Linked DNA regions of Mus musculus. The protein of the gene in region 1 interacts with the protein of each later gene in a pairwise test. Links are inferred from orthologs where the notes say so. Each region holds a gene or a part of one and is shown on either strand. Other genes may lie near its edges.

Region 1 (5,600 bases):
TCTGCAGTGGCTACAGAACCTAATTGGTCAGGATTACTTAGTGCCTGGCCACACATGAGTCATCTAAATTGCCCCCACCAACACTCAAGGAAGAAGAATGAATGTCAGACTCTGAGGAAGGGCGCGGAGAGGTGTGGAATGCTGGCTTCTGGGCATGAGATGGCTGTTGTAATCCTGAACTCATAGGCAGCTTTGGTTGATTTGCAATGCACCGGCCCTCCGCAAAATTGGGCCTATCAACAACATCCCATCATGACAGGGAGCGGGTTTCTCAGGCCTCACCCCTTTCTGAGAATCTATACTTGATTGATAGTTGAGGGGGACAAGGAGTCATCTTCTATTGTAGAAAAGTGTCCATCCATGCTTCCGTAAACAAGCTGAGTGCTCTCCTTTAAATAACTGGGTTAACAAAGCAAGACTGAGAGGGGAAAGCGACAGGGTAAGATGTGGGGGTAAATCTGACTGAAATATGTTATGTACAAGTATGAGAACAAAAAAAAATAAGACCCATTTATATAATGAATATATGCTAATAAAAGACACTGGGAAAAAAAAGGCTGGGTGCAATGATGTACACCTGTAATCTTAGCATGTGAGAGGCTGAGGTAGGAACATTAAAGCTTGAGGTCAGCCTGGGCTACCTGGCAAATCCCAAGCCAGCCTGAGCTTCTTGTCAAGACTCTATCTCAGAGACCCAAAGTAAAACAAAACAAAAAAGATCTCCAAAGATGAACAGGAATGGATAAATGAATTAAATGTCAAAACATAATACAGCACACCGTGTGAGCTGTCGAGCCCTGCCTGGTAAGCCACCCAGTACCATCAGTAAAATTCTTGCAAGTTTTTGGCATGATTTCAGAGCTTTCACAAACAAAACATTGCGAAAATAATTCTTACCTTGAAAAAAAAATTACTCTTAGGCCGGGGGCTGGGAGACATGGGTCAGTGAGTAAAGGCTTGCCTTGCCGTACAGAGGCCCCGAGTTCAATTCCCAGAACCCAGATAAAAATGGCATGTGTGATGTTGTGTGCTTGTAACTCCAGCTCTGGGGAGGTCAGGAGGATCCCTGGGGCTCACCGGCCTGTCAGGCCAGCCTATCTGTGTGTTCTAAGCCAATAATGAAACCTTGTCTCAAGAGAGGCACACAGTGTTCTTGATGAAACACCCTGAAACTGTCCTTCGATGTCCACCTGTGTGCGCACATCCATGTACACTTGCAAGCACACACACACACACACACACACACACACACATTTAAAAAAAGGAAAAAAAAAAACTCCTCACTCTAGCAAGGAGAGCACAGAAACCACAAAGCATCTACTGGCATACATACTCACGGGAATATATGCTATGGAATAATAAGGGCTAGACCAGGGGTTACTAGATGTGCATCTGACTATTGGAGCACAATGGGAAGGCAGTATCATGTGTGACATCGTACAAGGAGTAGTACAGTCACAATCTTAGGTCACATTATTTGTATATGAAGTCCTCACTACAGTTTTTCCCAAATCAGATCCTAACTTGACACTTTAACTCATTCCCTGTACTCAGATAATGGAAACTCTTACGTGGCCTCCGGTTTGCTCTAGAAAGAGAGCTTCCAGATGTGCCTGTCCTAAGCCGAATCTTGGCCGTTTATGTGGGAGCTAACTGGGAAGACAGGGCTCCAGGTTCAGACGGAAAAGGAGCCAAGGGTTGCTGGTGTCTCTTTTCTCCATCTATTGCTAGATGTGGATGGCTGACAGGCAGGAAATGGAGTGCACAGTTCACTAACAAACTGTGCTTCCAGAGACAGTAACAGAAGGGTGAGCATGGTGATGCTTTGCTACCAAGAACCACTGGAACCGGCAATAAAGTACTACAGTCAGGAAAGACTAGAGAGAGATTTCAAAAGATTAAATCGAGTAGGTGCTCAGTCCCTAAAGGACAAAGGGTATCTAATCTCCCAGCGTCACAGTGCTGTGTGTAAGAGGATCCCCATAAATAACACCTCCTGCCCTACTTCCCAGGTGTTTAACAAACCCTGGAACCAGAGCGAAGGGACACCAGGCTGCTGGGTATTGTGATCAAGACCATTACCTCATACAGCTGGCCCATGGTAGCACTGGTGGGAGGGATGGTGTTGTTGACAAAGAAGAATAAGGCGTCCTCAGGTCTCAGGTGGATCCTCTTCCGGATTAAGAAGTAGAACTGGCCAACTACAGGAAGGAAACAGAGAGCAGGGTGAGAAATGAAAAAGGATTAGTAGGAGAAACCTCAGAAAACAAAATAAAATCTATTGTGTAAGTACAAGCTTTTCAGACCCAAAAGCTGTCCGAGAGCCTTAGTGGGAAAATAGAAAAGGAGGCATGTACAGTGTCTGACCCACCACACTGGGACTGTCCCCTCCCTTCTTCCTCATCCATCTTCAGACTCAATATTAGCAAATCTATCCAGCACGACTATTGTGGGGGAGTACAATGTAGATCCAAGCATTCCCATCTAAATGGACTCCTGATTCCTTTGGGGTCCCATTTGCACTCTAAGAGCTAACAATAGGAAGAGATCCACTGCACTCTGGCCCTCCCAGTACCATGGGGGCAAATGTTGGGACAATGAGCCCACGCAACTTCTTCCTGCAAACAATGAAGCTCTGGGAGGCTGACAGGCAAATGCGTGAACACTGCATCTAAAAGAATCTTTCCAGGGCATCCTGAAGGCACCTGGTACTTCTTTAAGAACAAGGTAAACTCTAAATACATATAATTCAAAACAGAAAGTAGGCTAGGTTTTGCAGTTTTCATCTCCCAGACAGAAGCACATTTAAAGATAAAGTATTTGGATATAAATCTCTGAAATGTGATCCTCCTTGGTGACAATACCCAAGACACGGCTGGAGCTGATATAAATCGATCCACCTCAGGATAGCATGGCTGATTTTTAAAGTGGTATAAATGACAAACTTTTGTTCTTTACTCCCAGAGTACTGCTTTCCTGTGTCTCCATGACTAGGGTACATGAGTATGGCATTGGGAAATATCAAACAGAACTAGAAACAGGAGGGCAGAGTATGCCTATCTGTACTGGCCAGCTCACTGAAGGAAACCATGCAAGGTCACCACCTACATGCAGTGACAACCCATATAGTCACCAACTTAGACTTAAAGATCAAGAATGCTTTGCCTGGAATGAAAGGTCAGAAGAGAGAAAGATGGTTACCAGTGAGGTCGGAGGGCACAAGGTACTTCCTCTTATCCAGATCAGGGACCCTGGCTTTAGGAGCCTTCTCCACGATGACCTAGAAGAACAGGAGACTGGGATGAAAACCAGACAGCCTAGCATTGTCTTTTTCCTTACATACCTGAAATTTGCCCATGCTGTCCAGTCTCATTTTTCAGTCCCCATTTCCAATACTCCTTGAGTTTAAACAACTACAAATTACCTATAAAGGGCTATAAAAGTCATTCACCCTACGGTATTTTATTAGAGAATTGAAGAGATGTTCTGTGTTTCTAAGATGTGTCTGATGACCTATTTATTTTTCCTCTAAAATACCATTTACAGACCCAGGAGAAGAAGCAGTCACAAAAGCGCTCTCTGTCAAAGTGTGAAGACTGAGTTCTGATCCCCAAACTCCATGTGAGTGCCCACTGGATGTGCAGTCCCCATGCTGGGAAGGCAGAAACTGGAGATCCCTGGGTCAAGCTGGCTGGCTGGAGTAACTAAAGGGGCAAGCTCTGGATTCACACTGAGTAATGTGAAGAGTAAGCAAGAATTGTGTGAGATACCAACATCTGGCCTCCACATACATACACGCAATCACACACATGCTCCCTCGCCTGTGTACACACTTACACAGAGGGGGAAATGCCATTTGTTACAAGCACAACATTATAATTTAGAACTTCACTGCCTTTCAAAGGCCGTTGTGTTAAAAAAAAAAAAAAAAAGTGCTCCTGCCTTGGTGCTATGAGCAAGTGGTAGAAACTTTAAGGGGTGGGGCATCATGGAGGTTTTAGGTGTTTGAGCCAGAGACTAATCCTCCCTCATCTGTGCCTCTATGCTTCTAACACGATAGTTTGACGCACCACCAGGCCAAAGACTGGGGCCATCTAAGAGCATGGACAAAGACTTCTGAAGTCAGTAGCTTTCTTTCCCTATAGAATTTGACCTTCTCAGACACTGCTACAGTGATGACTAACACACACACACACACATACACATACACACGCACGTAATGTGGTTCAGATTTCAATCTTTGCAGAAAAGTGTTCATTGCTGAGTGAAAGCTATTTTGAATTTTTATAATGAGGGACACTTTTTGAGAGTCACACACTAAGTTATTCAGCATTAGTAACCGTGTTAGAATTTTAAGGGACTTTCAATGTCGACATTAAGTTTTTTCATAACACTTTTAAAGATTCTGCATTTTGTAACAAAGAAAAAGACACAAAATCTTCGGTGATGTTTACAGAGTGGCTCAGAGAACAGAAAATATCTGACAAGAATATTAACATTAGATTCTTTGTTTTGAAAATCTCATCTTAGAGATAAGAAATGGGAAATACACAAAAGCAAAGAAGCAGAAACAACACTGGACAAGTATCCCTAGAAGCTGAGTGTCTGTCAGTGTGTTTCCGACCTTTTCGAGCTTCTTCATCAAGCCACATACCTGTCCACCCCCAGATACCATACAAACAAGTACAAGAAAATGCTTGGGTAGACAGACGTGAATCCAAAGCTTCAAGGGAAATAGAAAAGAACTTGAAAAGAAATAGACCAAAAAAGAGGAAGGAAAGAGGCAGGTTACAAACAGAGCACAGGAAACAGGGAGCCCTGGTATTCACCACAGGAACTCTTGAGTCCTGGAACTCCAACCAAAAGGAGAGGGGACTTGTTTTCTGCATCTGTCGCAGTGGCTCATACACCATAGGGATGTTTACAAATGTTTAAAAATAGTATGTCCTACAGTTCCTGCTGTTACAGGTCTCCAACACACGGTTATCTCAAGATCCCATGATCCCTTCTCCCAAGGCCCACGCACACCTCTTAAGAGGCCAAGCTTAAGTTGTGAGTCAGACTGCCTTAGAAACTTAGCGGCTTTCCTGTAAATACCTGAACATAGGAAGATTCGGCCCTGTGACCAAGGCAGGAGAACTCCTGTTATAATCCAGTCATGGAGAAGACACCAGGCAAAGGGTTCCAATTTTAGTGTTGCCCCCACTCCCACCCCCACACAAATCTCAGCAGGGTTCTATGTCACAACCAGATGAGAGGTTGAGAACCTCTCAGATTGGGAGGTACCATCTGGGTGTGAAATCCAGGGATCCATGAGATCTAAGCGAAGGTGTCTTGGCTTACAAATCATCACTGAAGTAAAACATTCAGCATCAAGTCACAAACAGGAGAATACAGAGAAACTGCAATATTGTGGGTGAGTGCTGTACACAACTGAATGCGAGGGGGCTCTGTCTTGAGGAAGGACGGAGGTTTTAGCTGAATTTGGAAACAGTTGCAGGTCACAGCTCGGATTTCTGTTAAAGTTCTGAATAATGGGGGTAGGTGTTCACTTAAGTTTCCTGGCTGGCACCAACTACCACCTGAACTCCAGATGGCAG
Region 2 (6,578 bases), on another chromosome or scaffold:
GATTCTTAAAGACAGTTCCTATTTGTGCCTATTGCTGTTCTTCTTAGTCCTGAGTAAATATAAAGTGATGGTTGTATGTATGTGTGTATTGTGTGTATGTGTATGAGTGTGAATGCGAGTGTATGAGAGTGTATGTATAAGAGTGTTTATACAGCCTTTAAATGACACTTAGGGAGGTGTCTCTTTGGGAGGAGATGCTGTTGGTACCCAGGAAAGGAGCCACAAGTGTCCACAGCCTTCCCTGTCAGTGTCCCCAGTCAGCCGTTCAACTTTATGAAAATTTCAAATACACATAAAATAGAGGAGATATGACAGCGATCACATGCCCTATTCCTTAGCCTTAACAACCAAAATCTTGCCATATTTACTTCTAGATTTTATTACTTGAATTTTCTTTTCAAACGTTTTATTTCCCTTTGAACTGTGTGCATGTGGATGGGTATGTGCGTGTGACCACATGGGCGTGGGGAGGCCAGATGCAATGAATCCCCCTGCAGCTGGAGTTACAGGAAGTTGGGAAAAAAGGAAGGTATGTGTTCCTAACCACTGGGCCACCTCTGCAGTCCTGCCGAGGTTTCTTTAAAACAGAATCCTAAAGGCCATGACTGTTCACCTCTAATTATTTCAGCACCTAAAAAATAAAATCACTTTTGTAAAACAAACAAGCACAAGATCATTATTGGACCTTTTAAAGTGACATTCCTTAACTCTTTGTCATGGTGGTAATGCAAACCTTCCAGAACTTGGGAGGCTGGACAGGAGGATCTTCATTGGAAGGACAGCCTGGATTACATAGGGAGATCATATCTTAAATAACAACAAAAAATTTACATAAAGTAAAAAAAATTATCCCACTTAAAACCAATAGTCTCCTATAAGCCCATTTCCAGGTGGTTTACATCTGGATGCAAATAAAGTCTATAAATTAATTGCATTTGGTTGTTGTATTTAACTTCTTAATCCTGATTAGCAGTCTCTTTTATGTCACTGACTCCTTATTTTTAGTGGATTAAGTCTTAATACACGTTATTAAATTTAAACCACATCACCAGACCATCACAAAAGCAAACGCGGTGAACATAGGGGAATTCTACTGTTGAGTAATAAAGGAAAATTCCAGGACAAAAAAAAGCAGTCTCTCCGATTTCTCTTCTAAAAGAGACAACATGGAAGTTCTGAAGTATGATGTACTGTCTTACTAATGTTTAACACTTGCCTCTCAACACAGAAGGCAACCTATGATTTGGAAAGTCACAATAAAAACCTGAGACTTAGTTGATCTGAACAGAAATACTTCCCAATGTCCATTCTCTTTTGTTTGCCACAGTTCACTCGCCCCACATGGAACCCCATTCTTTCTTCACAGTGTAAATCACCTCCCCTTCTATACAAAGCCCTTCCCAACTATTCCTATCATGTCTTCTCCTTCTATGTTCTGAAATGATGTAAACTTCTTTCTGGGGGATTTAAAATATGTAATAAGACATGTACCGTTATTTCATTTATGCCTGTTTTTTTCCGACTTGACTGAAATTCCCAGCTCCTCTCAAACTTCCTGACATACACACAAAGGGCATTTGGTTACTCGTGGGCCACTGACTGGGATTACAACTAAAGAAAAATCCACCTAACAAGCTTTTTTCACAGATCTCCATCGCGCTGTCTCTTAACTCTGGAAATTTCTGAGAAAAGCGGTGGGTGTTCTAGAAATATATGAAATTCAGCAAGCTTAGCTTCCCCTCCCCACCCTGTCCCAAAGTCTCTGAGGGGTTACAGTTGGACCAGGAGTCGTGTTTTAACCCAAGGCTACTAGAGGGAGGAGTGGGCGGGAGGAGCGCAGAAGTGGCCTCACACCAAGTTAGGACCCGGAAGCCATGTAGGGCTTCGTTGACACCCGCTGCTAGGCGACAAGCCCTCGGGCTGGTTTACCTGATCAGTTCTAGTAGCCAGAGATTTATCAGCCAAAATGCGCTCCTTCAACTCATCCAGCTTCCCACTGTAGGCCAGGTTACAGATCATTATGTTAGACACACACCCCTCCATTTCGCCTTCCCAAGACCTCCGTGAAACTCAAGCCCCGCCCACTCGCATTTCCTGTTCCGGCGACCAATCAAAGTACTAGAAATTCTCCAATCACTGATCTTTGTTTTCCTTGTAGCCCCGCCCATAGCCTGGAGCTTCTGGGAGTTGCAGTTTGAAAGCAGATCCAGGCCTGGAGGCGTCTTTGGAAGTCACTCAGTTCCGGGTCCTAGCAAAGTGGAACTACAAGTCCCAGAATCCTTAGAGAAAGCCGTAGTCAAGTTGCCGGTGGAATTGGCCCAGGATGACAGCTGGAGAATGGAGTCAGGTAATGGGAGCGGCTTCTGGTAGTACTGTGTGAAAAAGCTAGGGTGGGTGGTCTTTGGTGGGCCAGTAAGTTGGCCACATGAAATGAAAACTGTAGCAGCGCAAGAGAGTTCTGGGATCCTACAGATCTTGTCCCTCGGGGCCCTCACTTGCAGTGGCAGGCGGAAGGGACAGAGTTGGAGCAGAGTACTACCTCTGAGCTTGAACCATTGACTGTAGCTACCCTCCCCCTCCCTACCACTGTTTAAGGAGTGGAAAGAAGCACAGGCTAGTTACTCTGGCATTTCTCCGGAGTGGCATCAGAGTAAGGCTCTGCTACAACACAGGTTATACATTACACCATACAGAGGTGATGTGCCAGAATGATGCTAAAGACAGGGTGTGATGCCATAGGAGCCACTAGATACCTAAGAGACCTCAGTGAGTAACAGCGGTCACCTTAGGGATATCAGGGTATATGATGTTGTCACTTTAATAACATGGTAATGGCAATTACCATCGAGACTTTGCTAGATTGCTAAGCTAACAATGTGGATTTTTTTTTAAAGGTGAATTTCCAAATAGTGCTGCAGCAGAAGAGATGCAAGGCTTATCTTTTATAGAAAATATCAAAAAAGACATTAGAAAAATGTTAAAGATATATTTTTTAAAGTGACTGATGAAGTTTGTCTCCTTTGTTATGGTATAGAACAGGGCTTAGCAAACTTTTTATATAACGCCAGATCATAGTTATTTTAAGCTTTGCAGGACAGATGATAAAACCAACTCGAGAACACAAGTTATGACAAATGTTAATTGATGAAATTCGGGATATAATAATAGTGGAGTATGTGTTTATATAATGCTTTTAGCTTTTTAAAATTTTGTGTGAGTGTGTTTTCTGCCTGCATGTGTGTCTGTACACCGTGTGAATGTTGGATCCTCTGAGATCTGAGTTAGACAGTGTGAGTTGCCATGTGTGTACTGAGAATTGAACTCAGGTCTTCTGGAAGAGCAACCAGTGCTCTTAAACCCTGAGCCATCTTTCCAGACCCCAGTGAAATTTATTTTTAACACAGAAATACTAAGAGAACGGAATTCTTTGAGGGAAGTACTGTTTGCTTAGCTGATGTTTAAAGTTGCTATTTTCTATCATTAAAATTTATTCCAAATGTTCTTTTTAATCTTTAGAAAACTCTTTGAAAATATGTTTTCATGCAGTAAGTTATGTCCAAATATTGATAATCCAGGAACATATTCTTTTAAATACTAATTATTTTATTGCATCTTATTGATTGTGTGTGACCTGATTCAGCTTCTAAGAGTGTTGGTTTCTCTCCTCTCCTCTCCTCTCCTTTCCTCTTCTCTCTTCTCCCTCCCTCCCTCCCTCCCTCCTTCCCTCCCTCCGTGTGTGTGTGTGTGTGTGTGTGTGTGTGTGTGTGTGTACACTTACATACATGATGCCTGGCATGAGTGTGGAAGTCAGAGAACACTATTGGGAGTTGATTCTCTCCTTCAAGCATGTTGGGCCTGGGGATTTACCACAGGACATTGGGCTTACTTATGGAACCATCTGGAAAGCCATAAATTCTGATTTTGATTTAAATCAATGTAATAATTTTTCCATAAAGGTTTTAGATTTATAGAAAAATTGCAAAGTCCAGTGCAGTGACTCACACCTTTAACCCTAGTTCTTGGGAAGCAGAGGCAGCAGATCTTTGAGTTTGAGGCCAGCCTGGTCTACACAGCAAGTTCTAGGAGAGCCAGGGGTACATCTAGCAAGCCCCTGTTTCAAAACAAATGTTCCAAAGATAGTACAGAATTCCCACATATTTTCTACCCAGTTTCACATTTTCTCCCTATGTTAACAATTTGATTGTGATAACTTACATACCATAAAATTCAACTGGGGCTAGGGATGCCCAGTAGTAGAGCATTTGCCTCACATGCACAAGGCCTTACGTTCAATCCTCAGCACCAAAACAAAACTAAGTTAAGCTAAACTAAACTTAACTAAATAAAATACACCTGTTTAGATATGTAATTGGTTATTAGTAAATTTTCAGGTTTATGTGACTATCACAACAAATCAGTTATAGAATGTTTTGACCTTCAAGTAAGACCTCATGCCCATTTACTGTTAATCTTTATCTCCTGCCCAGGCAGCCGCTAATATATTCCTTGTCTATATAAAATTGCCTATTCTGAACATTATACTTAATTGAAATAATGTAATATGTGGTCTTTTGAGTCTGGTTTCTTTCACTCACCCTAATAGTTTTGAGACTTAACCATAGTCTTGTGCATGTAAGTACTTACTTTTGTTGCCTAATAATATTACACTTTATGGTAATACATTTTTGGTTATCTGCTCACCAACTGATAGAAATTTAGTATTTTTTCTAGTTGTTGGCTATTATGACTAATGCTGCTTATAACATTGATGTAAACATCTTTATGTGAACATTTGTTTTCTTCTTTTGTTGTAGTTACCTGAAAGTGGAATTCCTGGGTAATAGGATAATTTATGTTTAATAGTTTAAGAAATTACAAAACTTTTTTCCAAAGCAGAAGAAGCAGTCTTGTGTATGAGGCTTCTCATTGCAACCCATCCTCCTGCACATTTGTTAGCGACTGTGCTTTTCTTGTTATTTTATTTTAGGATCTTTGTATAAGGTCTAGGATGGCTTTAAACTCACAAGCCTCCTGCTTCAGCCTCCCAAATGCTGGAATTTTTGGTGTATGTCTTGCCTTTGACAATTATAGCCATTTAAATTGGTATGAAATAATATAGTATAATTTCATCGTTTCTTTCCATAAGGAGTGGCTGGGTGTAGCAAACATGTTTTATGTGCTTGTAAGCTGTTGGTGTATCTTTTATACCCAAGGACCTGCTTCTGTGGTTTTTTGTTTTTTCATTTTAAAATTGGGTTGTTGTTTAGTTGATGAGTTGTAACAACTATTTCCATAGTCTAAATCCAAGTCCGTCAGGTATATAATGTACAAATACTCCCAGGCATAGTCTGTCTTCCGCCCTTTTGCTTTGTTTTATTTTCCTTTGTGTTATTCCAGTTGTTGAGACGTGTTCCCACTATGTATCCCAAGCTAGTCTCAGACTTGCAATTGTCCTGCTTCTGCCTCCCAAGTGGCTATTACAGGGTGGGCCACAGTGCTCAGCTTTTTTGTTGTCATGGTGGTATGTGTTTTGAAGGGGATGGTTTTGATTTTTTTTTTCCAAGACAAGGTATCATTCTGTAGTCCAGCCTGGTCTATAATTCACTGTGTAGCCCAGGCTTGGAATTCCCTTGCTTCAAGCTCCCACACATTACTATTCCTGGAGTCAGTCACTAGGCCTCACTCACATTGTGATATTTGATGAATTCAAATTTATTCTTTTTCCTCTTTTGTGTGTGTGTGTGTTGTACCTAGCTAAGACTGTAATATGTAAGATTTCAATGATTTTTTTTCCTCATGTTTTCCTCTGGAAATTTTGTTTTCTCTTTTGCATTCATTTCGAGTTAGCGAAGATCAATTCTTTTCACATGTGCCAGCAGCATTAGTTGAGTTGCCATTTTAATGCACTCTTCCATGGTGATCACAATGAATAAGTACACACTGGTCTATTTTAATTGACTGTTCGCCCACACTTTGTTCCAGGTTCATTAATTTACCTGTGGGCAGTGTCCCATCCAAGACAGTGTGAATCACATAGTATTCCTGTCTCTTTAGAAGCCTTTGGCTTGTGACAGTTTCTCAGATTTTATTTGTCTTGCTGATCTTGGTAGTTTTGAAATGCACTTGTTAGGGACGTTGTAGTTTTTAAAAGGTCTGTTTTTCTTATGATCAGACCAGTGTACAAGAGCATAGGATTACCACTGAACATATTTGTTGCTTGATATGTTTGCTTTGGGAGATGTTTGCAGGTTAATCACTTCCATCAGAAGGTTAGGTGAAAGATCCTCAACCGCACAGGGAAATGGATCTTGGACTACAGAAATAACCTTTCCACTTGTTTTAAAGGTATAAATCTATGGCTGGAATTGCAGCATGAGCTAAAAAAATATATATATATGTTGTAAATTTGTGTGTGACTGGAGATACTGTTTCCATTTTAACTTTTCTTACGAGGCAGTTATGGTATAATTGGTATAGAATAAATCTCATTGTGTTCAGGTATTAAATCGATTTCAATGTGCTTGGCTATAAATACACACTGTTGTGTAACCAACACCAAAGTCAAGATATGTAATATC
Region 3 (5,780 bases), about 77 Mb from region 1:
TTGCTAAAATGTTTTAGTAGATTGTAATGCAGTGTGAATTTATGGTTATAAAAGAATTTAAATAGTGATGAGGGTACAAACTGAAAGTTAACATCCTTTTTTGCTATAAGATTGTAAGATTGTAATTTAAAGTTACATGAATTATACATGTATATTTACATTTTAACTCAAATGAGAGAGAGAGAGAGAGAGAGAGAGAGAGAGAGAGAGAGAGAGATTGTAGAACCTTTTTCCTTTTGAGACAGGTTCTCATTATGCAACCCTAGCTGTCCAGAAACTTGGTATGTAGGTCAGGCAGGGCTCAAACTCAAGAGACTGCCTTCTTTCTGCCTTTTGAATGCTGGGATTAAAGATGTCCGGCTCCATGACTAGCTACAAGATACTACTAGGAATACACTTAATAGCTCTATTTCACTCATGATTATAGCTACATAGTATTCTTTCTTGTCATTCAGCATATGTGTAGTCAGTACTTAATAGTTTACTGTCTTCAGCTCTTCTGAGCATGCTCCAGTTAATACTCTTGTATAGCTCAAGTTACAATAGTCATGTGCCTAAATAAATTCCTTCAAATGGAGTTGGTAGGCTAAAATTTTATCATAAGGTAAGTGCCACCTTTTGATAGTTATTTTCAAATTGCCTTTTCAAAAAATACTGTATTAGGTTTTACTCCTAATGATGTACTATATGCTACTGTTTATAGTGGCTTCATAGCTTTTCATTATATATAGCATAGTTTAATTCAAGACAATTTCATTTTAGACACTTTAAAATCTATTTAAATCTATTTCAGTGTGTTTAAAAAATTAATTGAATTCTGAAAGACAAATCTTTGCCTATGCCATTTATAATTTTTTGAATGATTTTTGAAGTTAAAATTGCTAGATCAAGAGCCAAGAGTAATTTAAGGTGTTGGTGAGTCTTGAAAGGCGGCTGAGAAGCCCCAATTAGGGTTCATGTAATTGTGCTTAATAACTGTTTCTCTACTTTTTAAAAAATTAATTTTGCCAGGCATGGTGGTTGCACATCCTTTTAATCTCAACACTTGGAAGGCAGAGGCAGACAAGATCTTTTGTGAGTTTAGGTCTACATGGTGAGTTCCAGGACAGCTGGGGCCATGTGGAGCAAACCAGTCTCAAAACAAAAAATAATAAGTAAAAATAAAATAAATCAATCTATATGTTTGAACATTTGGGATATATATACTTTTATTCAGTCAGAACTAATCCTTGGGTGTGCTGACTGACTTCCTGTCCTATAAAGTGGTAGAAGTAAACACTTTTGGGCTGTTATATGAGAAATCTGAAACAAAGCCTAAGGCATGAGTGGAAAAGCATTATTTAACTTAAAATTCTGAAACAAACTGTTACCTTTAAATTTTAATGTTTTAATCAAAATTGTATATTATCTGCCTTTCTTCAGGAAGATACATTATTTTTAAAGGAGCAACTTCGCAAAGCGGAGGAACAAGTCCAGGCAACACGGCAAGAACTTATCTTTCTGACTAAAGAGCTCAGTGATGCAGTGAATGTGCGAGATAAAACTATGGCAGATCTGCATACTGCACGCTTAGAAAATGAGAGAGTGAAGAAGCAGCTAGCCGACACACTGGCAGAGCTGCAGCTACATGCTGTAAAGAAAGATCAGGTAAAGCAAGTTAACTTGCATCTCTGTTGATCCCCCAAAACTAGAAGCCCCATAAAAGAGAGGAATAAACTATTCAGATAAGTCAGGTAAGAAAGGCTAACTTCTATTCACTCTGTTAAATCATTGTCATTTCTTGGATTGAATAGAAAACATTTATACGCACAATTCTTACTGTCAGTAAAGGCTGTTGCAGTACACACTTTTGATGTATATTATATGTGACAGAGATTGCTTCATGTGGAACTTCTGTTTACTAGCTATATAGAATGGCCATCTGATTATTTAAGGGTATTGCATACAAGTTACGTAATTGCTCCTTAGGTGGATGCTTTTCCTCAGCTGTTAAGTAATCCTTAGACTCTCTACTATATATAAAAATCAGTAGAAAGCCCAAACTCCAAAACAAATTTAAATTAATTAAAGGTCAGAAAAAAATAATGGAAATGGAGTTAGGATTTCTTATTAAATTATGAACTATCGGAATTTTTTCCTTAGTTGAAATATTTTTTTCCTAAGGAAAAGACTGATACCCTGGAACATGAACTGAGAAGAGAAGTTGAAGATCTGAAACTCCGTCTTCAGATGGCTGCAGATCATTACAGAGAAAAGTTTAAGGAGTGCCAGAGGCTCCAAAAGCAAATAAACAAACTTTCAGACCAGGCAGTAAGTGTCACCGAGTTCCTGTCGGTGAACTTTTCCTTTGTCAGCCTTGCGTTTGCAGATAAGATGGATAATATTTTAAGTATTAACCTTTTGAATACAAATTATCACTTCATTTTTTTCTAAACACAAATCTTATTTTGTACTACGTTGCTTATGTAGGTATATGTGGGTGTTGGGGGTGGTATGTGAAGGTCAGAGGACAGTTTGTAGGAGTTTATCATCTCCTGGTTACACTCTCTGGGTCTCAGGAATAGAGGATGGAACTCAGGATGTCGTCAAGTTTGATTGCAAGTGCTTTTACATGCTGAGCCATCCTGCTGGCCCGAGTTTATCATCTCGATTTCAAGTCATTGGCCTAATACTATAACGACAATCCTCTTTCTGTTTAAACTTGAGATTTGTATTTACTGAGAATGAATAAAGGGAAGGAAGCTAGGTCAGCAGCAAGAACAAGCAGGAACAGGTACTCTTGTCTTCAGGGCGTTGCTCTCATAAGCCCTTGATAAGTAGCTTTGTCGATTAAACTCAATATGTCGTAGTAAATGTCACTTGTGGCAAAGGTGACAGCTCTCACTCTTTTCTCAGTACTCTTCCGTTCTGCTCATGCCACATTAGGAAGAGGCAAAATGTGTTGGCTTACTCATTTATATTTCATGTAGGAGTAGGTAGATTCATAATAAAACAGACATTTCATTTGGATGGGCCTATGTATTATGTACAGTCCCAAATTGTACTTATTATATGAGGGGATCTTGGAAGTGAAGTATAAAGAAAACATTGAAAATGTGGGGTTGCGTGGTCCCACAGTTTTAGGTTCTCAGGAACAAATAGGAGCAAGGAGTGCATGCAGGATAGTAAAGTGGAAAGGGTTCTGTGAAGAAATATGATTCACATGGGGATTTTTATTTGTGGCTTTTTTTTTTAGCACATTTTAAAAAAATGTAAGATTTTGCCTGCATTACATGTGTGCACCACATGTAGGTTTGGTGCTTGTATAGGTCAGAAAAGAGCATTGAATTCCCTAGGATTAGAGTTACAGATGGCTATAAACCACCATGTGGGTGCTAGGAATCAAACCTAGGTCCTGTGCACAAGCAGCACATGCTCTTACCTGCTGAGACCTCTCCAGACCTGCTGAGTACACTTCTGACTTGTGAGATTGTAAGATGTTTATGATGATGAGTTCTGCTGACTTCACAAGAAAAACACAGTTAATCTTCTTTCCTTTCCACCACTTAGGAAAATGATGTAGCTTTATTCCTTTTAGGTTTTCAGAGGGAGTAGTGTGGTTCACTTTTTTTGGTTATATACATGATTAGTAAAGGAAATCAATATGACTCGTTCAGCGACTTTTCCAGTAACTTACTGTTAACCTTTGAATAGGCGAGTACTAACAGTGTCTTCACAAAGAAAATGGGGAGTCAGCAGAAAGTGAACGATGCTTCAATAAATACAGACCCGGCTGCCTCTACTTCTGCTTCTGCCGTGGATGTAAAGCCAGCAGCGTCATGTGCAGGTAAAAATCTCCTTCTGTGTAGTGTGACCTTCTTGAAAACTGGACACTGATTTGATACTGCGTGCTTCCATGTGTGATAATTTCAGGCTGCTTCCATAAATTCTTGGGAGAGAGACTTGAGAGGCAAAGTGGGAATATGAGGGTATTAGTGTGAGATGGAGTTATGTATGTGGTGACCATGCAGAGTGTGAGTGAGTGTAAACTAGTACTTAGCTTCAGGAGAATAGTCACGTATTAAACATTAAATTGGTACTAGAAGTACTAATTTGAACCATATGGAACAGTGAAATGTAAGAATTCCTGACATTCAAAATTATGTTAAAATGTGACTGTAAATACAGACCAGAGAAGGTTCTTGGAACACAATGACAAAGGACAAATATAGAAAGTGATGAAGTTGAAAAATCTAGGTTTTTGCAGCACATTAACAACATCTAAACTGGAGGCTTATCTTGCACTTTAATTTTTTGTAACATTTAAAATATACATACATACATACATACATACATACATACATACATATATGCATGCACACACAATATATATAATGTTGTAGGGGGCAAATATCCTCTTCTAAATCCTTTGTTTTGCAGTGGGGTACATCTTTCATTAGTGTACCTGGAGACTGATGTTAATGTTAGTTGGTTCAATGTTTGACTACTTAAAATTGATTTAAGTATATCAAATGGGTAATGTCGTAATTTGAATTAACTGGATTTTTAATTTATGCTCTTCTCCCCTTCTTTTATGTAAAACAAGCAACAATAGGGAAAATAAGTGCAAGCTAACTATATTTCCATTTTTAGTGTGTGGTGTGACTGACAATTTAGTTTTAAAAAATGAGATTCCCTATGCAATTAAATATTGAATGAAGAGGAGCCTGTAGCATAGTCTGCAGCGTTCCCTTTACTTGTCCTCAGTGCAGATTGACGATTCTGACCCTGAAACATCTGGGGAAAGAAGTGCTTTCAGGTTTCAAGGGTTTCTCTACAAAGTGAATGTGTGCACAAACAGTTCATTGTTCCTATTGAGAGTTAAGAACCTGAAGCACCTCGCATTTGCATCTTTCCTACTTCACCCTGGCATTCCCAAAGCTTCCAAGTTAACGGTGCACTGTTGGGAGAATTTGAGTTTCAGAGTTGAGGATAATGACATTCAACCTGTAGTGCCTGCTGTGATCCTATAGTGTTGGTTTTGTGGAGACTTAGTGAAGGGTCACAAAGGGCTGGAGGAATGGACTCTTCTTAGGAGTATGCACCAGTTGCATAAGGGTGGCCGCTGGCAGGCTGCTTTGGAAATACTTTTAGTGCCTTTTTTTTTTTTTTTTTTTTTTTTTTTTTTTGATTCTCACGTTTGAATGTGAGATTTGTTCTGGTCAAAAATAACATTTAAAAATTCTCACATAGTGGTCAGATAGGTTCGTACATGCCTATAACCCTAGCAGTGGGTATGAATGAAAGCCATCCCAGGCTGTATAGGAAGACTGTCTCAAAAACAACAAACAAGACACACACACACACACACACACACACACACACACACACACACACAGAGAGAGAGAGAGAGAGGCAATGTGGGAGAGAACAACAAACATAAGCACTTATCAAGGTGCCTACGTTGGCCCTTGAGCCCTCTCTGTCCCTTCAACTTTTGATGCTCCCTGTCCTAGTCTTCTGAATATTGGGATTGTAGCCCAGTGTACTCCTAGACCTGACAACATTCCAGGTTTTGTTCCACAAAACACTCAAAAGTTTTTCTGCAAGAAGATAAAATAAAGAAAAAAAATTGTTTTGCTTTTTGAGACAGCATCTCTCACTTTGTAGCCCTGGCTGGTGTAGAATTTGATATGTAAGACCAGGCTGACCTCAGACAGACTAAATTTTTCTTTGAACAAATTTATTTTTGGCTAGTCAGTAGCGTCACACAGCTTTAACTTTAGCATGGCAGAGGCAGA
Region 4 (6,343 bases), on another chromosome or scaffold:
ACCTTCAGTTCATATAAATCAAATTAATTTGCTAAACATTCTTCTGGATTATTTGATATTGAAATCATAGTTGCTTACTAAAAGGCAGTAGTTTCTTCATTTCTGTAAAGCAAAGGAAGTGAGGTTCTTGATTCTGAGCTGCCTTTCACATTCTGTCAGTCTGCAGTGGTCTGTACTACCTGATTGCCATTGGAGCCAGGATGTTTCCAGTGCCCTGGCCTATGCAGAGAGCCAGCCCCATAAGAGGATGGAACAGGAGCACAAGCTTTGTCCTTCAGTTGCCACACAGTTAGCCATGTTCAGCAACAACCCAAGACAAACATTACTCCTGGCCCTGGGCAGGCTATCCCTGCAGAACTGTGCCCAAGGGAGACCGGGAATGCCTAAGAAACAATTTCACTGGAGTAATCAATACCTTAGAACATGTCATCCCTTCCTCTTGATATTGCCATGTGGCAATGAGCCCTAAGAACAAATTCCAATACATTCAGCAGGGCATTACCATCAGGGTAACAAAAGGCATACAAATATTTAAAATTATTTCTCTGACTTCATATAGAAATCTGAAGAGTGGACATAGCAAAGATTTAAATCTTTCATGTAAATTCTGACTCAGTTGTCCAGTTTGGATAATAAGTGTTAATCAAACAAATAAACAGTTACCCACATGTGTTTTTGCAGCATTAACCTGGTTCCTAAATTCCTTTTTTTTTCCTTTCTTTTTTTTTTTTTTTTTTTTTTTTTATGAGATATGGTAGCACAGGTCTGTAATCCTACTACATGGTAGGCTAAAGTAAGAGGATTGTGAGTTTGAGTACAGCTTGGGAAATTTACTTAGACTGTCTCAAAAACAATGACCACCATCATCTATTTTTCTAATGTAAGTTTTCTTTCTCTAAAACATAAGCCAGCACAGTCTTTAAATAGAAGGTGAGGAACAAGTAACTGTTATCTTCAAAGGCCTTGATACAGTTCTAAGCCTGTACTAACTGCCCCACTGAAATCTAATCTATCTTAGAATGACAGCAGTCTTACAGCCACAGAATTTTAGATTTGTAGCTGAGTTTGGAGCCTCCAGGGGCAACCCTTGAGGCCTGCATCCAGAAGTCAAGCTGGGGTGAAGGAGGTGCCACTTGCACAGTTCTCAGGAAGATATTGCCACTCAGAATACAGTGTAATAGCTAACATAGAAAAATTCTTCCTCCCAGTAAGAAACAAACTCCTCAAACTAGCTCTGAGATAGATGCCAGGAAAGTATGTAAAATCAAGGGAGCAGAGAAACAACTGTGAAGGCTTTGTCTGTGATCTGTTCAAATATAAAGAGCACAGTTTTGTTTTCCTTTTCTATGATGCTAGAGCCCCATGTGTGCTCAGTAAGTGTTCAAACACTGAGGCATTTCCTCCAGCTCTGTGCTTTTAGCTTTTATTTTGAAATTTATTTTGCGTTCACTAAGTTGTCTAAACAGGCTCACATTTCTTCTGCTTCCATCTGCGAACTAGCTGGGATTACAATCCTATTATACCACCACCCAGCTAGTTGACTGATATCCTATCCACCAACCTCTTTATATTTCTATCGATTTTAGTTTATGTCCTAAAATGGCTGTGCAGACTTCACACTTCATTGGGATCACATACTCCACTGAAAGAAAATAATCTTAGTTAATCCGCATAAGCAGCTACCATGAAACTAACTCTCTTTTAAGACATTCTCAAACATGTACAAAATACATGGAGAGAGAACGATAGGCTTTTAATTTCTGAGGTTGCTTTTGCTATGCTTGAGTAAAAGGAAATGTTAATATTATTCCAAGACAGGATGCAGAAAGGTGAGACCATATTGCTTCATTCAAAGCCCAGCATAAAGTTGCAGCAGCCCCAGCCTTCTTTATGCTCTTCTGCAATGATTTGTAATATATAAAAAGATGCTAAATTGATACCTATGAGACTTTGAAAGACAAGGACAGAACATCTAGTGCAGAGATTATGGGGACTTTGAGGAGGGGATGAAAGATTTGACATGGAAGGAGCAATGTTATTGCAGAATGTCCAGTTGGGGTACCACATGCCTTCTGAGACAGCCACACCATCTAGTTTGAGTGCTTGCTTAGCATACTCATTGAGCTTAATCCTGGGCACTTCAAAGTCATGCTAGTGGATATTCACAACACTAAATAGCCTAGTTGGTTTTCGTTTCATAAGCTGCACCATCAGTCTAACAAGTCACACACACACACACACACACACACACACACACACACACACACACACACACACACAAATCTGAATTATCTCCCATGCATTTGGTGGGCCCAGAATTTATTTAAAGAAATATTAGACAGGGCAATAAAGTGACTCAATCCAGAGCAGGCAAACAAGCAAGGGCTTACACAGATATTCTAATTTCTTTACCAGGAAACGACCTTGTGATCAGAACCCTGGCATTTTCTTGCGTGTTCTCTTAGCTGAGGTTTGTAGCCTCCCTTTTGATGTGGGCAGGTAGCTCTTAAATCCTAAAAGTACCTTGGATTAGCCCTGTATGAAACCCACAATTCCTGACAAAACACTCTCCCAGGAAATTCTTTTAAGATGTCACCTTGGAGAATCTCTCAGGAACCCTGAATAGAAGAGACCCTGCACTCACTTGGCTGTCTGGTATACACACACACACACACACACACACAAATTGTCTACTGTCAACACACCACCACCACCACCACCACCACCACCACCGAGACCTGTCCCTGAACTCACCGGATGATGACAAACATGACCAGAGAATTGCCCACTAAGCCCACCACAAATACCACAGAGTAGACAGCGGTGATGATAACAGGGATGGCCGGAGAGATGTGCGCGGACTCCAGCTGCTGATCCTCTGAGCCCACACTGCCATTACTGTCGGATTCTGCCCAGTTGGGGAACCAAGAGCTGCTGTTGGGGAGAAGGCAAGCACTGGGAGAGCAGGTAGGGCCTGGATCTCCTCGGAAGATCTGAATGGGGGACTCCATGGTGAGCGCTGCAGCTGGAAAGCGAGAAGGTGGCACTTGCGGGGCTGCAGGAGCAGAGAACAGATTGAACCCAGAGAGACAAACTTTGCCTGTACAGGCAGGGCTGGAGGCGCAGGAGCCCGCAACCCCAGGACTCAGTCTGGCCGCCCATCCCAAGGAAGGAGCAGACAGGTTGAAATCCCCTTCCCACCCCCTACCCCTACCTCCACTGCAGCTATTAAACTGAGAGTATTTGCACCTTTTTGGAGCCCTGAGGTTGCTTCACCCTCGGGCGTTGTGCTGTCCACTCCTGTGGCTGCCTCTACCCTGCCTGTCTGTGCATGCAACCCCAAGAAGCACTAGCCACAGCAATTTCCCCACTGTGCCTCGAAAGCCCCAAGCTCACCTCCAGATCGCTGATTGGCGACCTCCCTTCCCAAGTCACCGTCAGCTTTCCAAGTCACCACTTTAGATCCTGAGTAGCTGTTCAGCCCTGATGGGTCCACGTTCCTGATGCTCAATTTGTGCCTTCCAAGACTGGAAGAAGCTCTGCCTGTTTGGGATCAGCAAGGTGCGCCGGGGACAGGCAAGCTGAGAGCTGCAGGGCTGGTTGCCCCCGCCCTGCTCCCCATCTCAGCCTATCCCCGCCCATCCCCTCCTCTCCAAGCCACGCCCCCTCAGAGCTGACCCAGGCCAGTCTGCCGCTCTGCCAAGGCTCACTAACTCCAACTGCCCAAGCTGCTTGCCGCTTCTCTCTCTGCAGCTTCCTGGCGGGCGGTCTGATGCTTAGCTAAGGTCCAGTAACTGAAAGGGCCCTGTACAGTGACAAGAGTGCATGGGATCATTCCGTGTGTTTGGAATTTCTTTTCTTCAGAGTTCCCAGGACTAGTGTCTTTAAGCAAGGAAGCAAGTGGTAGCACTGAATTTTATTTATTGAAGGATACAAATAAAATGGCCAAATAATCTTGTCAGAATCAAACAGATCATATAGAATTAGTGGGTTAAGATCTATTAATGGAAAGCTACTGTGCATCTTGTCACCCTTTCTGCTCTGTCTAGAATGGCAGGTTGCAAGAACACTGTACTTACAGGTACTAATATTATTGCCTGCTATTACTGCACACATTCTCCTTTCCTAGGCTCTGCTGTTGCAGCAGGAGAGTAATTATTTATGTTAATCTCAGCCATGAAGTTCTTGCCTATACCAAATGCAGATAATTCAAACCTTTGTGAGAAACAGTCTCAACTATGTGTAAAATATTGACAGTCCAGGTGTCCCTGTCAGAATCTGTTGGGTAAAAGAGGCCCTAAGAGAAAGATGCTCTTGGGGATCCAGAGCTGGGTCCCTAAGAAATATTCCAAAAGAAAAAGAAGTGCTGTGGAACTGGAACCACCCAAGGGTGAGACACTCGAATTTTCCCAGGAGTTTCAAGGACTTAGATAAACCAGATCCCCATTGTTTCCCATAATGTACATCATGTCCACAGGTGGGCATTTTAGTGGCAGACTCAAGTCTATTCATGCGATGATGATAGGAGGGGGGCTCCTTGAACTTCTGCTGCTTACTAACTGAAGGAGATTTGGCCATCTGCCTGCACAGTTTACAGATGTACAATTTTTTTTACTCTGCTGCATATAAAGCAAGACGAACATTCTCCTTTGGCAACAGTGTTTTCAACTCCCAGCTCTGAGGACCATTTTCAAGTCTTGCAAATTTTCATTGCAAAGAGTGTGGTTGGTTTTTGTCAATATGACACAAACATAGTCATATCTTGGAAGAAAGGATCTCAACTCAGAAAGTGCTTCTTTATAAATGGCCTGTAGGGACCCAGAAGGAACAACATGGTATGTATGCATTTATTATTGGATATTAGCCATAAAGGATAATCATGCTACAATCCACACATCCAAGGAGGCTAAATGATAAGAAGGACTTACGAAAGGATGCATGGATCTTCCTGGAAAGAGAAAATAGAATAGATTTTGAGGGTGTACTGGGTGAAGGTTGGATGGGAACAGATGGGATCAGGTATGGTGGAGGGAGGAATGGAGGGAGAAAGTTCTGGAAAGATGACTGGAATTGTGAGACATTTTGGGGCAATGTAAAAACTTAATGCAATGGAAACTCCCTGAAATCTACTAGGGTGACCCTAATGAGGACTATGAGTAATGAGGAATACAAAGCCTAAACCAGCCATCTTCTGTAATCAGGTAAGACTTCCAATGGAAGGACTGAACACCAACTCAGCCAAAAACATACAGTTTGTCCTGCATACAAGATGGGGTATGGTGAAGGTCACATAGAAATTGTGGGAGTAGCCAATAAATGACTAGTCCATCTTGAGACCCATGCCACAGAGGGAGTCCACACTTGACACTGCCTGGAGGGCCAGGAACTAGAGGCTGGATAGGCCAGAGACACAAGATAGAGCAAAACATAACTGACAAAAAAAAAGTGAAAGAAATTATTCCTAATGATATTCTGCTATAGACAGGAGCCTAACATAATCATCATCAGAGAGGCTTCATCCAAATTTTAGGCAGAGTTTAGGGAACCTATGGGAAGGGGAGGAAGGATAGTAGGAGCCAGAGGGTTCAAGAATACCATAAGAACAAAGCCTACTGGATCAACTAACTGGGCTCATAGGGACCCACAGAGACTGAAGCAATAATCTCGGAGCCTGTATGGGTCTTAGATCGGACCTCTGCACATATGTTATGGTTGTATATCTTGATGTTTTTAAGGGACTCCTAACAGTGGGACCATGGCTATCTTTGACTCTTTTGTCTGCTTTGGGAGTCCTTTTTCTCCTACTGGGCTACCACATCCAGCCTTGATATTAGGTTATATGTCTAGTCTTTTAGTTACTTTCTATGCCATGCATGGTTGATATCCCTGGAAGGCCTACCATTTTCTGAAAGGAAAGAAGAAGACTGGATCAGGAAGAGAAGGGGGTGGCAGGAAAGGACTGGGAGGAGTAGAGAGAGGAGAAACTTCAGTTGGGAAATAATGGTTGAGAGAGAAAAAAAATGGCCTGTAGGCAAGACTGTGGGGCATTTTCTTGATTAATGATTGATCTGGTCTAGTAGACTGAGGGTTATGTCATTTCTGGATAGGAAGTTCTGGAGTACATAGGAAAACAAACTGAGCAAAACATGAGGAGCAATCCAATAAAGAGTACTCTTCCGGAAGCTGGCGAATTGGCTCAGAGGGTAAGATCACTAACTGCTCTTCCAAAGGTCCTGAGTTCAAGTCCCAGCAACCACATGGTGGCTCACAATCACCTCATAATGAGATCTGATGCCCTCTTCTGGTGGGTCTGAAGACAGCTACAGTGTACTTATTTATAATA
Region 5 (6,379 bases), on another chromosome or scaffold:
GAGACATTAAATCTCGATCTGCAATATTAGCCAGGCTGGCTAATCCAGGTTTCCTCAATGTGACCACTAACAGGTACCCACTCACTCCTGCAGTGCCCACAACTGCATCTGAGAGTACAAATGGGCAACGAGCAGCAAGTTATCAGGAATGCGTGTTACTTAACAGCTAACAACTTCAGAGAAACTGTATTTTACCAAACAGTCACGTGCAGTTCCTCCCCCAAACCCAATCGTACACAAATATCTATAAAGTTTATAAACTTCTTCAGTTAAAGGTAAGTAGCCTTTAGATAAATACAAACGCCATAATTATGACACAAATCTCTCAACTTTAATTTTCCTTGTACTTGGAAGAAAAGCCACAGATATAATCTATGTAATGCTGCTAAAATCCATGCCTATCACTGAGTTTAAAGTGTGTATAGATGCATACACGTTACTATCGAGAGAATGAGAAGATGTGAGGGCGAGAAGCTATAGAATACTGGCTTTTTCAAAATCTCGGAAGATTATCAAATGCACTGAGCTCAGTTTGTCTCTCAAGACCCACTGTGACAGGCCAAAATGCAGAGAACAGGAGACTGCGGCGTTCAGTCCCAACACACAGACCTGGAGCGCGATTTCTGCACTTGAGACTCTGGGATCAGCTTGCAAAAGCCAGAGGGACAGGACGTTTGTTGTGAGACTCTATTTCCTAGGAAAAGTAAGAGACTTTTCTTGTGCTAATAAAGTCAGAGATTCAGACCATCTTGTTAACACGGTCGCCTAAGTAAGACCCAAACAACAAGGACACCAATGGACAAGCTAACTTGAAAGAGTGAAATCTCACACAACCTCACTCATAGCCAAAGAACTACAGGGACCCAGGGAATGCTGAGAATCAGAGATGTTTTCCTCCAGAGGGAAGGGCTCCCAGCTGGTTAGTCAATACCATGTGCTCAACATTAAGATCACACTTGCTTGCTTGCTTGCACACACACACACAGAGCAAGATGTACTTCTGTATTTAGGAGCACACACACATGCAACAAGAAAAAGACGATGAATTTGAGAGAACAATGGCAAGGAGGATGCACGGGAAGGGCTGGAGGGATGACAGAGAAAGGGGGGAAAATGATATGATTAAGTTTAATTCCAAAAAAAAAAATCATATAAAAAAAGGAATGACAAGGACCAGCCATATTTTACTGGGACAAGAGAAAAGCAATGCATGCAGCCAGAGAAAGAAGCTCTGATCATGGATGCAGTGGTCCCTGGGCGGCGAGGGCCTTCTTCCTGCCTCCTGGCCAAAGAGCAGTCGAGTCACAGCCGGATCTTTAGTATCCACAACCAGAATGAAGGGGCGGACCACTGTCTCCTCTATGGATCTGATGTTTTTCTTTATCACTAGTAGCACATCTGAAGCTGGGGTCACCAGGAGGTGGAGCTGGGGCCCCATGGAAGCAAACACGTGGTAGGCACCAAGGAAGTGAGTGGTCAGTGAGATAATGGTAGGCACAAGCTGGGGGAATGGCTGCTTTATAGAGACACACAGGCATCCTCCATCTTGGCCCTGCCTAGTGCCTGCAGGACGAGCAGCTGGCTTCCAATCCAGTTTTTCCACTGCCTCACTGACTAAGCCTCTAGGTGCTTGCGGCTTCCCTGGTGTGGCTTGAGTGGGCCTACACTCCCTGAGACCAACGGACACTTCTACTCTGACCCCTGCTTCAAACACCAGTGAGAAGAGAGGTATGAGTTAGGGAAGGGTTCATTTGAAAAGTATGTGGACCTAGCCTGCATTTTTGGTTCACTACAAAATAAAAGTTTTCAAAATTAAACAATAAAGGAAAACCACAGCAGGTGAGTATCTTCTTGGCAGAAAAACCAGTTTAATTTCGTTAGTCCTGAAGGGATACTGCGGTCACTGAGATTCATGAGCCACGCTGGCAAAAGGCAGGGGCAATGGGCATTTAGCTTACTGATTTCCAATAGCAGGCCAAATCCTTGTTGGAATATTGGCCCTTAGATTATCTATTAACCCTAACTCAATGTTATAAATACGAACATAATACCTTTAGATTTGCAAAAATACTAGGAAGCTACCAAAACCAGTCATTTTTCACAGTGATAAGTCGCCTATGACCCTAAGGAAGAGCACCTTTAAAAAGGCAAGGCTCAGTTTCTACCGAAGCGAATAGGATGCCCTGTACAGAGCCCCGCGCCCAACACAGCAGGGAAAGGGCGCCGAGGACTGGATTTGAGAACACACAAGGCGGTCACTCTGGTTCTCCCCACGCCTGTATCTAAGAGGCAGGACCGCTGGCACCAGCAGTGTTTTACAACCCTCAGGACGGAGCTGAAAGGAGCTTATGGAAATGCAAGACATAAGGAACACTCCCAACTCCACGGATTTTTTCTTGGTTTGGGAAGTAAGAAGGGGACTATGAAATAGTGCCAGGTAGCTTTGAAAGTCACACGAAGGTAGAAAAGGATATTCTAATATGGCATTTTTACTGACTATACCACTTATACTTTCTATAATGAAACGTCGAGTTGACAGTCTAGGATGTGACTGTACACTTTAATCTATCTATGTCTTCCATCCTTCTCATTTCTTTGGCTTCAGGCGAAGCTTCTGAAGGGTTCCATTTGGTTTGGGAGCAGCACCTTGCCTAGGTATTCAACCACATACCACGTGTGCTCTGGGGGAAGTATGTCCCTTAGTTCTCCCGACAGTAGAGACTCTCTTCGGTTCTAGTTCCCTTCGCTTCAAAGAGCCAAAGGTTATGACTTGCCCGAGAGTCCTAAGGATATGTACTCGTTGGCACTTAGATACTGGGTGACAAATCTTACCAGCGGCCCTGTCTCGGCCACGTATGTTCCCTGTCAGGAACTCAACCGCATTGTGCTAGCTGACAAGCAAAACATGTAGTCTCTGTGGACTAAAAGTACTCCGAGGTGTGACATCAGCTCAGAGCACACACATGTCCCCCAACCCAGCAGCAGCAGCGATCCCAGAACTCAGCAAAAGCGACCTTGGGAGATGTTGTTGTCTTTTCTACACGTGAAGCCCGGGGGCTGAGTGTGGACGCTCGTCGGGGACCCTGCACCGCGCGGCCTTCCCGCTGGACTCCAGGCCCGGTCTCTCGGCCCTCCACCGGCCTCGGCCGGCGGGGCTCACCCGAGACGCCAGGCACAGGGGCACCCCGAACTCCCCGGGGCAGCGCTCAACCGGCCGCCCCGGCTCGCTTCCCGCCCCGCCGTCCAGGCCGCACGGCTCCCGGTTACCTGCGGGCGGCGGGAGGAGGCTGGCGGCTCCGCTCCCTCTTGGCCCGCGGCTGGCTCCGACGCTCAGACCCCGGCTCCTCCACCCACAGACACCCCCGAGGACCCGGCTCCGGCGGCTCTCCGAGGGCCCGGAAGCGGCTCAACAGCCGGGCCTTCAGTTCCTCCGACGCCACCACCGAGGCGCGAACCCGGAACCGAGCTAGAGCGGCCGCACAGGTGCTGCGAGGGCGCGGGCCCGGGTAGGTGTGGGCGCCAGGGGAGCCTGCGCCGCACGCCTGTTCCCGGCAGCCGGCTCTGGCGGCAGGGAAGCCTCTCTGCGTGTGTCTTCAGCCCGACTGCAGGGGCATCCCGGTTTTCATGTTTGGGTTTTTAACCAGCCGCTTTTGAGTTCATTTCCGCCCGAATCCAAAATGGCCACCTCTGGCTTCAGACAAGTAAGGGGGCGGGGAGGAGGAGGAGAGGAGTTTGGGGCTGAGCCAGAACTTTTCCGGTTGTGACTGCCCCCTCAGCATCCTGGCCACCAGGATTGGCCTGCTGTCAGAGAAGATATGTATGTATGTATGTATGTATGTATGTATGTATGTATGTATGTATGTATGTATGTATGTATTTAGTGAAGTCAGAAATCATGGCGATTAACGCTTGAGACTTAATTAAGGCTTAAGGTTTCAGATGGAAAACCTGGAATCATAATTCAGCGAAATAGTACAATTAGAAGGAATGTCACGCAAGACCGGAGAGGACCGGACAGGAGGGAAGAAAGTGAAGAGGAGAAAAGGGGAAGGGAGGAGAGGGGAAATAAGGATGGGGGGGGGGTGTGTGGGAAAGGAACGGAGGAAGAGAAGACTACACCTGTGATAGAATTACCAGCTCCAATATCCGCTGACTTCTTGTTCTCTTCGAAAGTTCACCTTCGTTACAATAACCGAAGACTAAATGATCAACCCATTTGCGTGTGGGAGGTCGCAGCCAGCCTCTGCCTTCCTGGTAAAGAATGTAGATAAAGTAACATCAGCTACCACGTCCTGTAAGGCAAGTCAGAATGAGACCAGGATTGTCTTGATCAATTTATTTTGTGCCTTTCTTTTCCTGGAGGAGTAGAATTGAGCCACTTCAACCAGGGCAAGAAATCCACTGGGAGGATGATGCATTCCTGACTCACATCTATGCTGTATCGTTCGCTCTGGGTGCTTGCTCGCATTCTCATCCATTCTTTGATCACTAATCCTAGTCCAGCTGTGGATGGGATCCTGGGTAGCATGTAGCCTGTTTTCTCAAACACGATGGTCACCTACTCCTCTAAAATTAACACTAGAAGACAGTTCCCTGCTGCATGTGTAAGACATGATTGGAAGGGACACACTCAATACTTCTACCATCTACTCACTTCATTTATCCTGGTGTCACTCAGGTTTCTAAATAAACCATCTCTTACATCTCTGCATTAAGATTCCAGATATTTTTGAGGCCACGGGTTAACTTACACATCTTACCCTCAATAGGGTATGTCAGTCATTCTGTCCAGCGGACATTTGATTCTGTAGGAAAAAGGACCAGTATTGTACAGGCACACACAGATTCAGTTACCCCGCCTGGAGTTGGGTGACAGGTGATATTGCTCAGGTGGCACATGGACACGGGCTGGAGATAAGTAAGCTCTGCCCCTGGCTTGCAGTTCACTGATTAAGCCAGGCTCTCTGTCCAGGGAGCCCCAGAATCCACCTGCCTTTGCTTCCCCAGTGCTGGGCTTCCAGGCATAAGAACTTGGATTCTAATGATCAGACTGAGGTTCCAAGCACCTTACTGACTGAGCCATCTCCTAATGCCCCTCCCCACAAGATTACAGATTATTTGCATATGAGCCTTTGTGAAGATTTTGGGCTCACTAGATTCTTATGCCTTTCAGCCTATTTGACCTATTTTGAAGTTACTCATTTTGGCAATGAAAATTCACTTTTTAACATCCTTAAAAACACCATTAATCTGCATTAGATATGGGAAGGGCATTATCTGTAGTATCTGTCTCTAAGTATGGGTTTCTGATTTAAATCCTCCCAATGCCAATCCAAGCGTGAAATGCTTCTTAGCCTCCAAGTGTACACCAATCACCTCAGAGTTTAAGTGAAGAGAAAATAATAGATGTGTTGAGTAGTCTAGGTCTTGTCAAATGGCCTCAGACCTTAGTACAACTGACCCCATGATGGAAGTACCATCCAGGCTGTAAAACTCAGCATGTAGGCAGCACCACGTGCCAAAACTAAAACAAAGGCCTAATCCACCAAAGTCCCTTGTTCTGGGAAAGTCTCTAAATGAACTAACCTTGCTTTTTAGCTTCTGTAGCTCTGCTTCTGGCTAACTGTTCTTGTTAACAGAACATGGTTTTTCTGCTTAAAAGCTCACCCTGAGAAAGGCTCAGGGCTGCATAGGCATCCTGAACATCCAGTGTAGTTGTTGGCTGTCTAAAAAAAACAAAAAAAACAAAAAAAAAAAAACAAACACCTTTCTGTTGGCTTAAACCCATGTCTGAGCAGTCTTTTTGGAGAATACTCCACAATATTTCTGGATACCTCAAAAGATCCCAGAGACCACACTTCAAGATACCGGGGTGGTGGGATGAGGAGGTGTCTCAGAGACCCTTGGATCAAGGAAGAGTTGGGCTGTCAAGGGGCCCCTAGGGGGACACAAGTGGAGATGCTCCAGCTTCCCAGAGCTGCCTTTGATCACTCACTGCCTAAGGTTTTGGAGGGGTCTCACACCTCTACCGGGAAAGGAAGCAGGTTGCCTTGGTCTATGACCTCCGGAGATAAGTCTGGTCATGGCACATTCTGTTTGGACACACAGGAGAGGTCGACATGTCTGCTGATCCAGTGTCCATGTGATTTGTGACTGGATCCTTTTGTCTGTTCAGGTATATAAATGTGGTGGCTACCCCTTGTTGTCTTTTCTGTCTTTGTCTGTCTGTCTGTCTGTCTGTCTGTCTGTCTCTCTCTCTCTTATGTGTCTTTGTGTGTCTGTGTCTACGTGTTTCTGTCAGTTCTATTTCTCTGTATTCACTAGTGGCTTTCTCTGGTGTAAGAACCTGTAACCCAGGCTTAAGACCTGTACCCCATTC

Evidence for each region.
Region 2: the proteins of Gabarapl1 (region 1) and Atg4a interact in binary tests that used the Homo sapiens proteins (3 or more experiments, as listed by UniProt). The two-hybrid records come from large-scale screens. The link is inferred for Mus musculus from reciprocal best matches to the Homo sapiens genes GABARAPL1 and ATG4A.
Region 3: the proteins of Gabarapl1 (region 1) and Tax1bp1 interact in binary tests that used the Homo sapiens proteins (3 or more experiments, as listed by UniProt). The link is inferred for Mus musculus from reciprocal best matches to the Homo sapiens genes GABARAPL1 and TAX1BP1.
Region 4: the proteins of Gabarapl1 (region 1) and Oprk1 interact in binary tests that used the Homo sapiens proteins (3 or more experiments, as listed by UniProt). The link is inferred for Mus musculus from reciprocal best matches to the Homo sapiens genes GABARAPL1 and OPRK1.
Region 5: the proteins of Gabarapl1 (region 1) and Scyl3 interact in binary tests that used the Homo sapiens proteins (3 or more experiments, as listed by UniProt). The two-hybrid records come from large-scale screens. The link is inferred for Mus musculus from reciprocal best matches to the Homo sapiens genes GABARAPL1 and SCYL3.

The regions. Positions count from the first base shown.
Region 1 is NC_000072.6:129,535,171-129,540,770, reverse strand, and holds part of Gabarapl1 (gamma-aminobutyric acid receptor-associated protein-like 1), read right to left. Parts: intron 3,281-5,600; coding exon 3,202-3,280; intron 2,202-3,201; coding exon 2,083-2,201; intron 1-2,082. UniProt on the Homo sapiens protein: Ubiquitin-like modifier that increases cell-surface expression of kappa-type opioid receptor through facilitating anterograde intracellular trafficking of the receptor. Involved in formation of autophagosomal vacuoles.
Region 2 is NC_000086.7:140,954,625-140,961,202, forward strand, and holds the start of Atg4a (cysteine protease ATG4A), read left to right. Parts: upstream 1-2,337; coding exon 2,338-2,347; intron 2,348-6,578. Other genes in the region: Psmd10 (26S proteasome non-ATPase regulatory subunit 10), read right to left, coding at 1,930-2,043. UniProt on the Homo sapiens protein: Cysteine protease that plays a key role in autophagy by mediating both proteolytic activation and delipidation of ATG8 family proteins.
Region 3 is NC_000072.6:52,740,529-52,746,308, forward strand, and holds part of Tax1bp1 (tax1-binding protein 1 homolog), read left to right. Parts: intron 1-1,422; coding exon 1,423-1,647; intron 1,648-2,163; coding exon 2,164-2,310; intron 2,311-3,693; coding exon 3,694-3,826; intron 3,827-5,780.
Region 4 is NC_000067.6:5,585,717-5,592,059, reverse strand, and holds the start of Oprk1 (kappa-type opioid receptor), read right to left. Parts: upstream 3,568-6,343; 5' UTR 3,397-3,567; intron 3,056-3,396; exon of another isoform or gene 3,026-3,055; 5' UTR 3,012-3,025; coding exon 2,755-3,011; intron 1-2,754. UniProt on the Homo sapiens protein: G-protein coupled opioid receptor that functions as a receptor for endogenous alpha-neoendorphins and dynorphins, but has low affinity for beta-endorphins.
Region 5 is NC_000067.6:163,927,075-163,933,453, reverse strand, and holds the start of Scyl3 (protein-associating with the carboxyl-terminal domain of ezrin), read right to left. Parts: upstream 3,690-6,379; 5' UTR 3,268-3,689; intron 1-3,267. UniProt on the Homo sapiens protein: May play a role in regulating cell adhesion/migration complexes in migrating cells.